2 linked regions of the Arabidopsis thaliana genome follow. The protein of the gene in region 1 purifies or fractionates together with the protein of each later gene. This does not show direct contact. Each region holds a gene or a part of one and is shown on either strand. Other genes may lie near its edges. The genes, in order: AT5G25475 and STRS2.

Region 1 (7,179 bases):
GTGGTCTTCTTTTATTTTCCTTAAACTGTCTTTGGTGTGTGTTGGATTTTATTGAAACGAGAAGGTGAAAAAAACAGAGTTTTATTTACGAGAGTTAGGGTTTTATATAGGCAGATGGGCCTTTGCTTATATTGTATTTTCTTGTATGAGAAGGCAAAAGAAACGTTGCCTATATCTTATGTATCTAGGCCTTTTAATTTTTATGGAAGAGTTACAAAACTTACAATAAAGTTGTATGCATATTTTACTTCTCACGAGCATATAAGACTGAATCACAATCGAGCATTTCCAATGAAGTAACAGAAGCATAAGAAATTTAGCATTTAAGTTTTGTTAAAGCAACATAAGGGTCACATATAAACATTACAATAGTAAGTTTGGTAAACACGAATGTTAAAGAAAAGAGACTAGAGAGGACTCATCTCATGTTTTATTGATGAAGTGCACTCTAACAGCAGTAACCAGTTCTCCAGAGCGTTCAAGTTCACAAACCATAGAGTCTCCGGTTTTCAGATTGTACTTTCGACATAGGTCCACCCAGCCATTGAAACAAGGGGCACTGCCACCGCCATAGATCTTAGTGGAGCCATTTATTTTATCTCCGGGAAGAAGGTAATGCATGGGGGACAAATGGGGACCAAACTTCAAGCCATACTTCTTAATCACTGTTTTGGGCACATACTAGTTGCACATTGTACATGAGAAATAGAGAGAAAGATAAGTCTTAGATTTAGAGGCAACAAACGTAAACTAGAATCAAAACTGATGAAAACACTGCTCTTATTACCAAAACGTCATTCCCTTTTGTCAGCGTTTTCACAAAGTAAGGGTTTTTGGGGTTTAGAAGGTACAGCTCAGGGTTTTTGATATCAGCACAACCATGTGTCTCTCGCCAATTGTCTGAAAATTCTGCCAAAACAGAAACAAAAAGAAGCAAACTTTGGCATTGAGAGAAAAGAAAAGAGTAGTATTGAGTATGAAGAGCATCAAAACGATTCTTTCATTCTGAATATAGCCATACCAGAAGCAGAAGCAGAGGCAGAGGCAGTGGTTGTCTCCTTGTGAGAATTTTTTGGTGTAGTAGGATGAAATGGTTCAGTTTCAGGTTCAACTTCAGGAGGTGCATCGATGATCTCGTTCCCATCATTCTTAAAGATTTGCACTTCAAGAAACATCTTGTCATCGTGTCTGAAGAACACGTTATCATTTGGGCCTAAATGGTTGTCATCCACAAACTCATCCCAATCTTCTTCTATCATAAACAGATCTTTTTCTTCTCGCTCCAGCCAGAGTTGCCAAGAATTGCCCCAACGAACACTGAACACAACTCTGTGCTCAAAAGCCCCGGGCGTGCTTTTCACAAACTCTTCCGGAAAACTCCTCTTCATAAAGACAGAAATCATAACAGTTGACAACAACAAACGATACTGACATTAGAAGAAGGAAACATGAGACTAAAAGCTAAAATACAATCAGCAGAACACGAGCTTGTCAAGCAGAACAAGAAGCAGGAATCATTGTGCCATTAAAATCTCCTCAAATGTTTCTTGAAAGATCAAAAGCTTTTTCGAACAAGAACAACAAACGAACAATAGATCTTTAGAGCAAACAAAGAAGTTCAATGGAAATAACAGTGAGTACAAAATCAAAGGAGCTACATTTTCGAAAGATTAGAAAAGAAGAGAGACTAATTTTGTTTTACCATGGATTTAGATTTCCAGTTTTGTCCTGGAGACAGAGACTTCCAAAAGCAAGGCTTGCTCACATTTCCTTGTATCTTATCAGTAGCATTCCTAGGCAACATCTTGTTCTCTTCAAAAGCTGGATGGATTCGGCAAAATTAGGGTTCATAAACAAAGACGAAGATGACTTGCATGTAATGAAATCAGTGAAACAGTAAAACTGGATAAAAATTAAACCTTTAATGCGTTATCTCGCTTTTCTTACTTTCAGTAGCTAAACCCGAAAGTGTTACAAAGCAGAGAACACGAAAATGGTGACTAATGAGAGACACAGAGAAAAACGAAGAAAGAAGCAAAATTTGTACGGTCAAAGGGGAAAAAAACTTAGGTCAGAAGTCAGAACAAAGTAAATGCGTAAAAGGCAAGTAATTGCGTCAAAAGTAACGTCGCCGGAGCATGAAATTCACGCACCGTCGCAGTCGAAGAAGCTTCCTCTCGCTGCTGTGTCTGCTCTTCTCAGCCCTTGTTCTCCAAATCGAATCTCTCTGCTTTCAGAAAGAGAGGAGACTCAACAGTCAACAGCACTGTGACAAGTGTCAAATGTGTACTGTGTATGGAAATAATAAAATGGTCAAACAATATTATTGGGCCGGATATGGCCCATATTAGAAACTGGCCCATCATACTCTAGAATCGATTCGATTGCAAGTGAATTGACAAGTTTGTTAAACTAACACATAATTGACACATTTAGCATTGTTACAGAAAGTTGTAAATAACATATTGTTGTTACTAGAGAGGATTGGTCTAGTCTTTCTTGACGAAATGCACTCTTACAGCGGTAACCACACCACCGGAGCGTTCAAGTTCACAAACCACGGAGTCTCCGATATTCAGATTGTGCCTCCGACATAGAACCGACCAGCCACTGAAACAAGGTTTCCCGTTATAGATTCTATTCTCGCCTTCCTCTTTTTTCTCCCCGGGAAGAAGATAGGTAATGGTGGACTTAACGGGACCAAACTTCAAGCGATAGCTCTGAACCACCGGTCGGCTCACATACTTGCACATACAGCAGGAAACAAAGACAAGCTTTAGCTTTCTAGGCCACAAATGGAATAAAAAGCTGACAATGTAAACACTTGTATTATTACCAGAACGTCGTTCCTTTTTGTCACCGCTTGCACAAAGTAAGGGTTTTCAGGATTCAAGAGGTATCGCTCAGGGTTTTTGACATCACTAGAACGTTGTTTTCCTCGGCCATTTGTCCCTCCATTTGCTGAGAATTCCACCAAAACAGAATCCAATCAAACATTGGCATAGAGAACAAATGATAGTTTGGAGTTTGATGATTCTATCGATCTGAATAGCCTTACCAGAGCAGCCAGAGCCAGAGGCAAAGGAAGAGGCAGGGGTTGTCTCCTTGTGAGGTTTCTTGGGCGTAGGATGAAATGGTTCAGTTTCGGGTTCAACTCCAAGAGGTACATCAATGATCTCAACCCCATTATTCTTAAAGATTTGCACTTCAAGATTCATCGTCTCATCGTGTTTGATGAACAGATTATCATTTGGACCTAAATGATTGTCGTCTACAAACTCATTCCAATCTTCTTCTATCATAAACAGCTCGTTCTTCTCTCGCTCCAGCCAGAGTTGCCAGGAGTTTTCCCAACGAACACTAAACACCACTCTGTGCTCAAAAGCACCACGCGTTCTTCTCACAAAGTCTTCCGGAATTATCCTCTTAATAAACCCAGAAATCAACAAAACAATACTTACATTCAAAAGAGGAAACATGAGACTAAAAGTTATAACTTTCTACAGAAAAAACACAAGCAGCAAAAACACGAGCTTAAAAGATTGGATTGTAGGTCAAGAAATGCAGAGAAAAGGACTAGAACCAACACTAGCATAAACATGAGCTAAGGGCAAACGAAACCTGCGACGTAAAAGTACCCATAACGGTAGCTAAAACAGGTCAATAAGTAACAAAATGAAGACCAAGCAGCAAGAAGCAGAGGAGGCATTGTGCCATTAGAATGTCTCCAAAGTTTCTTAAAAGAAGAAAAGATCTGAACTTTTTCAAACAACAACAAACGGGTAGTTCTGTAATAACTTGTCTATAAAAGGGCTAAACTAAACATGAAAGGATTATCACATCTTACTGTTCTAGCAACAACATCCAAAGCTATAAACTTGTAACAAAGCAAATTCAATAGAAAGAGTCTAAGAACAGTGAGTAAATATCAAAGGAGGAGTGAGTCATAATTGAAGTTACCATGGATTTAGATTTCCAAGTTTGTCCTGGAGAGAGAGACTTCCAGAAGCAAGGCTTGCTCACATTTGCTTGGATCTTCTCAATAGCATTCTTAGGCAACATTTTTCTTTTCAAAGCTGGATCAGTTCTGCAAAATTAGGGTTTGTATGATGACCTACTTGCATTTGTTCATAAAATTAGAGCCAAAAAATTGGAAAAGTAAAAAAAGAACAAACACTTTGTACGTACAAGGAGGAACAAAATATCTCTGGTCGGAAAAAATGAAGAAAAGTGGCGAAGAAGCAAGTAATAACGTAAAAGTAACGTCCCTAACGACAAACCTTAGGTAGTACCGCCGGAGCGTGAACTTCACGCTCCGTCGCAGTTGAAGAAAACTTCCTCTCGCTGCGGCTGCTCAAATAATTTAAAGTGACTGAGAGAGAGAGAGAGACAGTCAAAAGACTCATGTCTCATGCCAATATTATGGTCACTTTTTACGGAAATTTGGGTAAGAAATTATGATTAACGGGCCGAATAAGGCCCATTTAAAATACTGGCCCATAAAGTTAAGGATCGATAACAAAACGTAAGTTCATCAGTTTGAACTTTATCAGTAAACAAAAAAGTAGTAGAAGCTTGTTCAGGAGAATAACTGATTCCGGTAATTGGTCGCGTCACTTAGTGCATCAAATTGTGTAGTCAAGAATCGAATAGATACCGAAGCAGAGGAGCCACCACTGCTACACTTAAACTGTTTCCAAGCATTGCGTATCTGCACAAAGAGGAGTTCATGAGATTCATGTTCTTGTGTTCAACTATTTCCACATTTCAAACAGGAAGTACGGGAGAAATAAGGGTATTATGGGTTAAATTCTATATTCGAATCAAAACGGTGCCTCTGTTATACTTGGATGCACATAATCTATATAGACAGTAGCTTTTTCTGGCTTAGATGGTGTTGACGGTATGAACAGCGTACCTTTGTCGAAGGCTTATGTGCTTGGGGAACTCAAAATCTTCAGGGAATGAGTGAAAGTTAGCTACCTAAACAAATAGAAACCGAACATCATCTTTCAATGAAATAAAGCTGACTTTTTCAGTGAGGCATTAGTAGTAAAAGTAAAGGACAGTGCTTAACCTCTCTAGGGGTGAAGTATCTAAGCCGTTGCTCCTTCAAACAAGATTCCTTACCCTTGATTTTTGGCTGCGTGATCACAGATTCACGATAAGCATTTCTTTTCACTTTGCAAATACAGAGGAAAGTAATATTGTATACTCCATGGAAGAACGTACCTGGACAGTTGCCAATAGGGAACCTGTGCCCTTCACGTATCGATAATAACTCTTTGTGAAACAACAACATCTCTTTGAATCAGGGTAAACAATGTCCATTGCGTTTCCCCATCTCTCTATCAAACTAACTGGTACTAGATACTGATGTACAGAGTCTGGGACAGAATCGCCTTCTTGTCCACAACAATCTTTGGACCCATTTTCAGAGTCATCAACACTACTTGGCTCGCCATCAACATGTGCAGCTAACTCGAGAAACTTCTCTACTGGTTTGCAAAACTCAAGTAATTTATCCAATCCTTCTTCTGCTTGACATTTTCCAAACTCAACCTGATCATCACGCCCATATAACGGGTCTGGAGACCAGAGTAGTTTGTTATTACTGTGTTGGGACTTAAATGGCAGAGGTTTTCTTTTGGCCTACAAAGACACCAGGTAAATCAAATGATTTCAAAGTTAGTGACGTTTTAACTAAAACAAAAAGATTAACGCATATACATGAGAAAGTGCACACTACATGAGAAAGTTTCATAATCAGCATATACTTATACATTCTCAGACTACTAAAATTAACAGTTTTAGGTACACAGATATGCACTACGCAATCATAAGGTAAAGAGAAAGTACCAGGCAGAAATAACGTGGTCTTGAATACGGCACACCAAACTGCAGCGGACTCAATATAAACTCTTGTGTGACATAATCTAATTTTGTTAATGTACCAATCATTTCCATATGTGTATCCGAAGTCTGCACCAACAAACACCACCAATAAGCAAAAATGTCACGACTTCAAAGAAGATGATCGAGAACAAGTACTCTAGCTGGGAAGCATAAGCAAACACTATACCTCAAATCCAACAACATTCTCTACAAATAACATTTGTGGAGGCTTTGTTGTATGCGGTATAAGCTCAAGAATCCTGAGAAACGAAAAAGCCCGAGCATCACCAGAGTGTTTCTGAAGGCCTAACCAAAAAAAAACTGTTAGTATCCAAAAGCAAGTCATGTTGATAGTAAAGAAAACAACAGTGAAATGAATCACCTTGTCTAGTATAAGGTTGACAAGGAGGAGAAAGAAGCCAAGCATCTGCATTATACTTATCTAAATCAGCAGCAGTGAGACTCTGAATATTCCCCTATGAAAAACAACCAAAACAATAAGAACTAATCATGGACTAAGTCACAGAACTAGCATCATCTATGATTTGCAAATGTAACAATGCTTCTATTGATTATATCATATATAAGCATTAAGCAACCTGATAGGGACGATGTTTGAAATTATGTTGATAAACATCATTAGCAGAATCATTGATCTCAAAAGCTTCTACTACTTCTGAGACGATGCCTGACGCCATTAAAGAGTATCTCTAAGAGCAAAAAGGAATTAGGGTTTATGAGACAGAGTAGACTTCACTAAAAACATAGAATTGGAGGTGAAGGAGACTGTTACCATTCCACCGATTCCACTGTAGAACTCGAGAACTTGCCATGGCTTCTTCTCATTGATTCTCTGTAATTCTTGTTCCGCCATGCTTCTTCTTCTGCTGCTGCTTAAGCAAAATTAATTTGGGAGTTTTTGGTTATTGTTCTTATTCGTTTGGGTAAATTAAACCGTTTTTTTATATTGTTCTGTTTAGTAATAGAACCATACCACGCTTGTTCGGTTTATTGTTAGAACCATGTTTTTTGTTTTTTGTCGTTTTTCTTTATTAATTAGCAAGAAAACCCTCAAACTAGCCAATATGTTTCAAAATAACCCTCAACTTACAAAAAATAAAAAACAATCCTTAACCAATTTTTGTTTTTTTTTTCGTTAACCAATTTTAGTTACCACTGTTTTATATATTAAGGTTAAGGATATGTTATTTTGGGGAATTACATGGCATATCAAACACTTTGCTTTTTAGTATGTGTGAAAGTATGTTGTGGGTTTTTTATGTC
Region 2 (8,749 bases), 6.1 Mb from region 1:
AAGAAGCATTGGCGGAGGCCCGACAGATAAGAGAGGAGAAAGAACGGTCCAAAACTGGTGAGGAAGCTAATGGAGTTTTAGACAATAATAGGTTGGAGAAAAAGAAAAATAGCGCACAAGTATTAGAAAGCAGTGAAGACAGCAAAAAGAATGAGAGCACTGCAGGGGGAAGCAAGATGGAGAATGGGTCTGTTTCTTCGGAAAACATTGAAAAATCAGAGAAAAGGTTTGGCTTATCCTATTTACACATAAGCAGAACATTTTGTTTTTGGATGACTTGGTGGGAGCTCATTGTTCTTATGGTTGTGATAGGCTTATAGGGAATGTCTATCTGAGAAAGCACAAAAGGCAGATGACGGATACAAAAATCGAACCAAAAGAGGAGGAGGAGGATGAGAAAGCAGAGGAGGACGAAGAGGAGAAAGGATTTTCAGTGAAGAAGCAGGAGGTAAAATCTGCAAGCGAAGATGAGAAAGGAACTTTTGAAAGGAGGGGGCCCGAACAGAGGGTAAAGTCCGTCCCCTCATAGTTATATTTGGTTGTTTGCATATATTCCCCGTGTGTGCTTTTTTTACCCATCAAGTCTGAAATTTTTTGTATACATGCAGAGGCAATATTATGAGCGGGAGATGGAGAAAATAGTCATACGTACAAACCCCTTGGGTAAAGATCGGGACTACAACAGGTACTGGTGGTTCCGAAGCAATGGGAGAATATTTGTTGAGAATTCTGATTCCGAAGAATGGGGCTATTATACCGCCAAGGAAGAGGTATCATCAATCCACGTGGTTCATTTCTTTGTTTGATAAATGGATTGTATAGTTCTTGTTCCGATTTGTGTATGTTACTTGAGATCCAGCTGGATGCATTGATGGGGTCACTAAACCGTAAAGGAGAGAGGGAACTGTCATTATATACACAACTAGAGATATTCTATGACAGAATATGGTCAGTTTATAGCTTCCCATTTCTATTTTGCATAATCTGCAGTATTTATTATTCTGGTAACTTGTTCTACCCTCACTTTAATGCACATGTAGAAGAGTAACACCACATTTATCGAAGTCCCCTTGTTTATGTGTAATGGCTTTAAAACCTGGCGATGACTTGTGATTTGCAGCTCTACACTACAAAAGAGGACGAAGGACATTGCTCACAACATAGAAATGGAAGAAGCAGTGGTTAGGAGATCTACCCGTGTAAGAGCTCCACTACATGAAAATCCAGCTAGTGCCTTCTTGAGATATGTTAACAAGTGGAAAGAGGACTAAACGTAGCAGAATTCAATTCTGTATAGGAAAAGCTTGTAGTTGCAGTTGCAGCCATAGCCAAAACTTACCATTTTCAGCTTGTCTTCTCTGTTTTTTCTTTGGCTCCTTTAGGGTTTAGTAGAGCTTTTTACAAGTTACAACAAAAAGGCATTAGTCTTATGGTATGGTGAAGGCAACGCTTGAGTAGAAAGATGGTGTTGGGTTTTGTTTTGTTTTTCTGTTACCATTCATCATCACCTTCTTTTCAGTACTCTATGATACCGAGGTACCATTTATTTTTTATTTTTTCCGGGGAAATTAGAAGTTTTATTACTATTCCTAAAATGTTTCATTGCAGATTTGCATCTATGTCTGATTTTGGTTGGTGGCTATATTTCTAAGCTTTGTTACAGAAGACTTAGATTAATTAGGCTAAAACCTTTTGACTTATTTTTGTTTTCAGTGCGGTTTGATAAATTTGATGGCATGTCATCTTTGTTTTAGCTCCAAAATAAACATTTAGGACCATCGTTGTACCCTTGTTTTTTGTTTTAAAAAAATCAAAACATGAATTTGGTAGTTCGACATTTGAATCTATACAGTATACAACTACTCGGAGAAGAAAGTCAGTTCTCATTTTCAAATCCAGGTAATTACACCCACACCTGTGGGCTGTAAGACAGAATTTACAATGTTGAACAGCCTAGCTATGATTCAGAAGCAAACCAAGGACTACAAGTCAGGTTTAGTTTTCAGCCAAAAAGCCAATCGGAACTCTTTCTTTTTGGGTAACAAATTCGGTTCGGTAAGATGAACCGATTAGATAATTTTTTGGAAGAGATGAACCGATCAGTTAACCAAAGAAATTTCTATTTTTTCTGAATTTTTTATTTTCGGATTTTTGGGCTCCGAAACAAACCGGATCTTGACAAATTAGTAAATTACCAAATGAAATTCTTAAGAAGGTAACTTTTACCAAAATGCCAAACTTCAAAAAAGCAATAAAGTTCAACACAAACAATACCATTAGGCAAAGAAAGAGAAAATCTAGCGGGAACGATAATTTCTCTTTGCAGGTTTCTTGTCAAAACCTGGAGCGACTCTAATACCAGGAACGTTTTTGAGACCCATCTTGCCAAGAATATTTACAGGGATAGCCGGAGGGATGCTAAGTCCCATACTGCGGCTAAACTCATTAGCTAACTCCACCAGTCTGGTCGTGTCTCTAGCAATCTTCTTCTGCGATTTGTAGTAACCCAACCATGCCTGATATGCCGCCTCCTTGTTCGTCATTTCCACTTGGATAAGCCCTTTCTGCACCTGATTTTAACATGTTTTCAACACCCATCAATGCTCACTCGAGTTACATACTCTTAAGAAAAATTTGGCTTCTAACGTAAAAGAGGTTAGTTTCGTGAGATGTGAAAATCTTATTCCTTTGCATACATATTCCAATACAGTTTATATAACATTCTGGTTGTTCTGGTTTGCTACTTGCTAGCGAATAGAATTTACGAAAGGCTTGCTAAGTTCAATAGAGTCACAAATTCAGGCTAAGTTTACAGTAGTAGTATTTGAAAAATCTTACCTTTTTCACAGCCTCATGGTCTATTGGCGGTAAAGAAGACTTTGTGATGGGCAAGTCCTTAACAGAAGATAGAAAGTACTCTTCCCACGGTGCCAACAATAGTACACCTTCTCCTTCCTTACCTTTCCGCCCAGTTCTGCCAAGTCTATGTATATATTGTTCCCTGTCTGATGGCAATCCCATCTGCAAAAGCAACATACACACAACAACAACTTCGGTAAAAAAAAACAATCAACTTTGTAGATACTGTTCAATTCCATGATTGAAAACTACTACATGATTTACCTGTACGACTAAGGACACATCAGGGTAATCAACACCACGAGCAGATACATCAGATGTCACAAGGATAATACTCTTGGACTTGCGGAACTCATCAGAAACTCTGGTTCTGTAACTCTGCGGTTTTCTAGAATGGATCTCTCTGACGTTAAGGCTTAGCTTACCAAGCAGATCAGCCACCAATCTTGTAACCATAGCAGTTGTACAGAAAATAATAACCTGCAACAGCAAGGAGATCATGTTAATCCAGAATTACAGTGGTGATTAACAAAGGCATTGGAGGAACAATATACCTTATAGCCCACATTATCTGTGATGTGTTTTTTCAGAAGACCATATAGAAGCGAGAAATGTCTATCTAATGATGCAATCATGTACATTTGTGAAACCTGGGAGATAAAACAGACATGAGAAACCATTAGCATCCAATCATATGGCAGGCCATTGGTTCAAATGAACTTAAAAAGCAATCTTTTACCTTTTGATGCGTCTCCCCAGCACCCTCTTGAACACAGTTGACGAATTCATGATCCCGTTTCAGAGCAACATGGCATATTTGGCGGACCTTGATAGCAAAAAAACACAGTTCAAGATTCCAACCCAAAAGTGAAAGCCTTTGTGCAAGAAACTGACACTTACCTCATCAGATACTGTGGCGGAAAATAAAAATGTTTGTCTCTGCTTAGGAACAGCAGCAATTATCCTCTCAATTTCCCTTCGGAAACCCATGTCCAAGAGATGATCAGCTTCATCAAGCACAAGGACTTTCACACCCATCAACCTTGTTGCAAATCCAGAAGTGTTGTCGATATGGTCTTTGAGCCTTCCGGGTGTAGCCACGAGAATCTGAGAGTGTGAAAATATGTTATTATTCAAAAATATACAGAGACAAAGATCACCATCTCTGCAGCCACTTTGACTGCAGGGAAGACAAATAATGCAAAAAAATCTAAATGCATAATGAGGCTTAGATCAAAGAACATATCCTGTGACTGAAAAACAATCCTAACTTGGACAGGGAAATCCATTTCTTTTTAAAAAACAATCTATCTTAATTCATATTCTTAGAAATTCAAATCATGAGTCCATATTGTTCTAGCGAAGGATAACCAACTCAGTTTGAAAAGAAATATATGCAACTCTATTGGTCAGATAACAAGTTTCATCTGAGAAGTCCAGCTCAATGGAAATGCATGATTTGCTCAGAAATAAGTTTACATATTAATACAAATGAAAATTTACCTGGCAAGGACTCTTTTGCAAGCGCCTTTGCTCCGTAGGAAGCTTAGTGCCTCCAATCACAACTTGAACACCAATAGATGGGTGATACTTGAGCAAGATGTTTGCTTCTGCAGCAGCTTGACAAGCAAGTTCCCGAGTAGGACATACCACAAGCACAATAATTGGGGGATGCCTATTATCACGGCTTGCAGGAGGAGCTTTGATAACAGCTTCAATTGATGGAAGCTTGGAAAAAGAAACATCAACATTAATAACAAACCCCAATTAATCAAACTGATTGTAATCCTAAATGACCAACATGAACCCAAAAAGGGTATCTCACCAAAAATGCAACTGTTTTCCCAGTGCCTGTTTTGGCCTTCGCAAGGATATCTTTACCTGGAAAACCAAGGAAGAATAATTAATAGAGGAATAGTCAAGCTTCAAAATGTTTAAGTCATGACAAAACATAAGGAATCATGAAGAAAGATGCAAAAGTTTCTGCCTTTTAGGCAAGTTCACCTTGGAGAATGAGAGGAAGAGTAGCCTCCTGAACAACAGTCATTGTCTTAAATCCAGCATCCTCAATTCCTTTTAACGTTAAGGGAGACAGTGGGAACTGATCAAATCTGTAAGAACCATTTTACCATAAAGAGAAATCTGAATCAAACACCACTAAGAATAGCTCTGAAGCTATCTCCGAAAGAAACGCAAAAAATGTACCTTGTCTTTGACAAATAAGAATCTGAAGTTTTAGCAATTTGAGTCACTAGAGGCGTAGTAGAAGCTGGTTTCTTAATAAGAGGCTCATCAACATCAGATTTGCCTTCTCTTCCCCTCTTTAGACTCTTATTGTTGTCCTTGACTAGCTTTCCCGAGCCATCTTCGTCACTCGTCAACTTCTTCACAAGTTTAGCACGAATCTCTCGTCTCTTCTTACCGGATTTGGGTCCATCGGAATTCATGCCAACGAGTGGAGAAAAGACGGAAGAGAACGGTGAAGCGTATGCCTTTAACTGTAAGGCTCTGCAACTACCAAATTCCCGCCGTCGGTTATTTTAGGGTTTAAAAGGTTTTGTAGGAAACACAATTTAGGGCTTAAGGGTACAGATGCGAGTGGCCCAAAATGTCAACAAATATACAAAACGGCATGTAGTTGCTCCCTTTGCTTTGAAACGTGTTGTTTTATATCAGAAAAAAGTTTTGTTAAATCTTCAAACACGTATAATCCAACTTAATACTTTTTTTGTTTTTTTAGTGAAAATCGAAATACTCATGTTAACAAGCCATTACAAACAAAAGACCTTTATAAGAAGGCAACTTTTATAGGATTTTTTAGTTAGGAAGTCTTAAGAGTGTAGCAAGAATGACAAGAGACTACACGTCTACACTTACAAAACATTAAAGTTTTAAAACCAAAGCAGATCACTAGGAAAAAAGAAAATCTACTTGGTTCTAAGACCAGGAACGTTTTTGAGACCCATCTTGCCAAGAACATTTTTGGGGATAGCTGGTGGGCTGTCAAGTCCCATGCTGCGGCTAAACTCATTGGCCAGCTCCACCAGTCTGGTCGTGTCTCTTGCAATCATCTTCTGAGATTTGTAGTAACCCAACCACGCCTGATACGCCGCCTCCTTGTTCTTCATTTCCACTTGGCTCAGCCCTTTCTGCACCTGAATTCAACAAGTTTATTATACCCAGCAATACTCACTCATACTCACACCCTTCAAAAATCATAGCTTTTAACTTCAAAGAGTTGTGTTATGAGATTCAGGTTCAGTTTCAAGTTCCCTACTCATTCTGGATTGCCAGCAAATATGAGTTAAGAAAGGCTTGCCAAGTTCAGTAGAATCACAAATTCATGTGAGTGCGCTTATATGAAAATGCTTACCCTTTTCACAGCCTCTGGGTCTATTGGCGGTAGTGGAGACTTGGTGATGGGCAAGTCTTTAACAGATGACATAAAGTACTCTTCCCATGGTGCCAACAATAAGACTCCTTCCCCTTCCTTCCCTTTCCGCCCGGTTCTGCCAAGTCTATGTATATACTGCTCCCTGTCTGATGGCAATCCCATCTGCAAAAGCAAACAACTTCAGTTAAACAAAAGAGATAAAATTTGTAGTCGCAGAACAATTCCATGTCAGAAAACTATGGTTACCTGTACGACCAATGACACATCAGGGTAATCCACACCACGAGCAGATACATCAGATGTGACTAGGATAATAGCCTTGGACTTGCGGAACTCATCAGAAACTCTGGTTCTGTAACTCTGCGGTTTTCTAGAATGGATCTCTCTGACGTTCAGGCTTAGCTGACTAAGCAGATCAGCCACCAATCTTGTCACCATAGCAGTTGTACAGAAAATGATAACCTACAACAGCAACGAAATCGGGATAGTTCAGAAATACAGACATTGGTTATTCATAATGGCACTAGAGAGATAATGTTACCTTATAGTCCACATTATCTGCGATGTGTTCTTTAAGAAGCACATGTAGAAGCGAAAAATGTCTATCCAGTGATGCAATCATGTACATTTGTGTGACCTGGAGATAAAACAAACATAAGAAACTGATAACATCCAATCATATGGCAGGCCATTCACTCAAATTAAGCTAAAGAGAAATCTTTTACCTTTTGATGTGTCTCCCCAGAGCCCTCTTGGACACAATTGATGAACTCATGATCCCGTTTCAGAGCAACATGGCATATTTGGCGGACCTTGACACCAAAAAACACAGTTCAAGATTCCAACCCAAAAAATGAGAGCCTTTGTACTAGAAAGTGACAGTAACCTCTTCAGGTACGGTGGCAGAAAATAAAAATGTTTGTCTCTGCTTAGGAACAGCGGCAATTATCCTCTCAATGTCCCTTCGGAAACCCATGTCCAAGAGATGATCAGCTTCGTCAAGCACAAGGACTTTCACACCCATCAATCTTGTTGCGAATCCAGAAGTGTTTTCAATATGGTCTTTGAGCCTTCCAGGTGTAGCCACAAGGATCTGAGAGTGTTCAAATATGTGATTATTCAACAATATATAGATATAGGTCACGGTATCTGCAGCCATCTTAGAAGCGCAGTTTAAGGGAAGTGCAAGATTTGCTCATAATTAACTTCAAATTAAAACACCTGTAGAGACGGAAGAAATTTCTTATTACCTGGCAAGGATTCGTTTGCATACGCCTTTGCTCTGTAGGAAGCTTTGTGCCTCCAATCACAACTTGAACACCAATAGAGGGGTGATACTTCAGTAAGGTATTTGCCTCTGCCGCAGCTTGACTGGCAAGTTCCCGAGTAGGACATACCACAAGCACAATAATTGGGGGTTGCCTACTATCCCGGCTTGCAGGAGGAGATTTGATAACAGCTTCAATTGCTGGAAGCTTGAAAAATAAACATCAACGATAAGAAGTAAGAACATATCCCAATCAAAGGCCCAATCAATTCCTATCCAACCAACATATATCCATGAACCCAGAGAGTACAATGTCTCACCAAAAATGCAACGGTTTTACCAGTGCCTGTTTTGGCCTTGGCTAGGACATCTTTACCTGGAAAAACAGAGCATGGAAGAAACCAAGGAGTTAAGAGGAATTTAAACAATCAATCAAGCTACAAAATGGCAGTCATGGCAAATTTGAGGGGATCCGGAAGAGAAATACTCAAGATTCTTAAGTTGTCTTTGAAATACCTATTGGCTATTGCCAACGTGATTTGTAAAAGCTTGTGAGATGTCGTCAATTAGAAATTGTCACTACATTTCTAAATCATGGCATTTTTTCTTTTTGCATCGTAAACAAGGCTCATGAAGAAAAGTTCACCTTGGAGAATGATAGGAAGAGTAGCCTCCTGCACAACAGTCATTGTCTCAAATCCCGCATCCTTGATGGCTTTTAGCGATAAGGGAGAGAGTGGGAATTGATCAAATCTGTAAACCATGTACCATAAAGAATATTATCAATCAAACAGAACTAAATGGTCAAAGTAAGTCACATAGTGAAAAATAATGTACCTTGTCTTAGACAAGTAAGAATCTGAAGTTTTGACATGTTCACCAGTTGGCTTATCAGTCTGAACAGCCTTAGCAGAAGCCGCTTTCTTAATAAGAGGCTCATCATTTTCATCATCCTCATCACTACTATCTTCACTAGGCAAATCATCGATGTTTCCCAATCCAACCCTGTTCTCGTCATCGTCACTACTATCTTCCTCTTCCAGGCTTAAGCCTCTTGTCTGTTTCCCCAAGCCCCTGTTGTTTTCGGAACCTGGCTCTCTCCTAAACCCTGATTCTACATTTCTATCATTCCTACCACGAAAAGACGACCCTGAGTCTACATTTCTATCATTCCTACCACGAAAAGACGACCCTGAGTCTACATTTCTATCACTCCTTCCACGAAAAGA

The links.
Region 2: the proteins of AT5G25475 (region 1) and STRS2 fractionate together in Arabidopsis thaliana (co-fractionation; one large-scale study listed by BioGRID). This does not show direct contact.

Annotation. Positions count from the first base shown.
Region 1 is NC_003076.8:8,865,431-8,872,609, forward strand, and holds AT5G25475 (AP2/B3-like transcriptional factor family protein), read right to left. Parts: upstream 4,392-7,179; 5' UTR 4,281-4,391; exon of another isoform or gene 4,088-4,280; 5' UTR 4,063-4,087; coding exon 3,961-4,062; intron 3,651-3,960; coding exon 3,600-3,650; intron 3,501-3,599; coding exon 3,059-3,500; intron 2,962-3,058; coding exon 2,837-2,961; intron 2,745-2,836; coding exon 2,490-2,744; 3' UTR 2,367-2,489; downstream 1-2,366. Other genes in the region: AT5G25470 (AP2/B3-like transcriptional factor family protein), read right to left, coding at 424-681, 788-909, 1,022-1,382, 1,703-1,804; DNMT2 (DNA methyltransferase-2), read right to left, coding at 4,639-4,711, 4,919-4,983, 5,078-5,143, 5,233-5,652, 5,860-5,982, 6,083-6,201, 6,278-6,371, 6,495-6,605 and 1 more.
Region 2 is NC_003076.8:2,791,097-2,799,845, reverse strand, and holds STRS2 (DEA(D/H)-box RNA helicase family protein), read right to left. Parts: upstream 5,459-8,749; 5' UTR 5,307-5,458; coding exon 5,065-5,306; intron 4,971-5,064; coding exon 4,864-4,970; intron 4,741-4,863; coding exon 4,685-4,740; intron 4,588-4,684; coding exon 4,363-4,587; intron 3,967-4,362; coding exon 3,760-3,966; intron 3,686-3,759; coding exon 3,599-3,685; intron 3,510-3,598; coding exon 3,414-3,509; intron 3,340-3,413; coding exon 3,124-3,339; intron 3,022-3,123; coding exon 2,839-3,021; intron 2,571-2,838; coding exon 2,298-2,570; 3' UTR 2,086-2,297; downstream 1-2,085. Other genes in the region: AT5G08630 (DDT domain-containing protein), read left to right, coding at 1-226, 313-508, 609-770, 860-948, 1,121-1,271; PDE340 (P-loop containing nucleoside triphosphate hydrolases superfamily protein), read right to left, coding at 5,787-6,014, 6,233-6,415, 6,500-6,715, 6,795-6,890, 6,979-7,065, 7,140-7,346, 7,504-7,728, 7,841-7,896 and 2 more.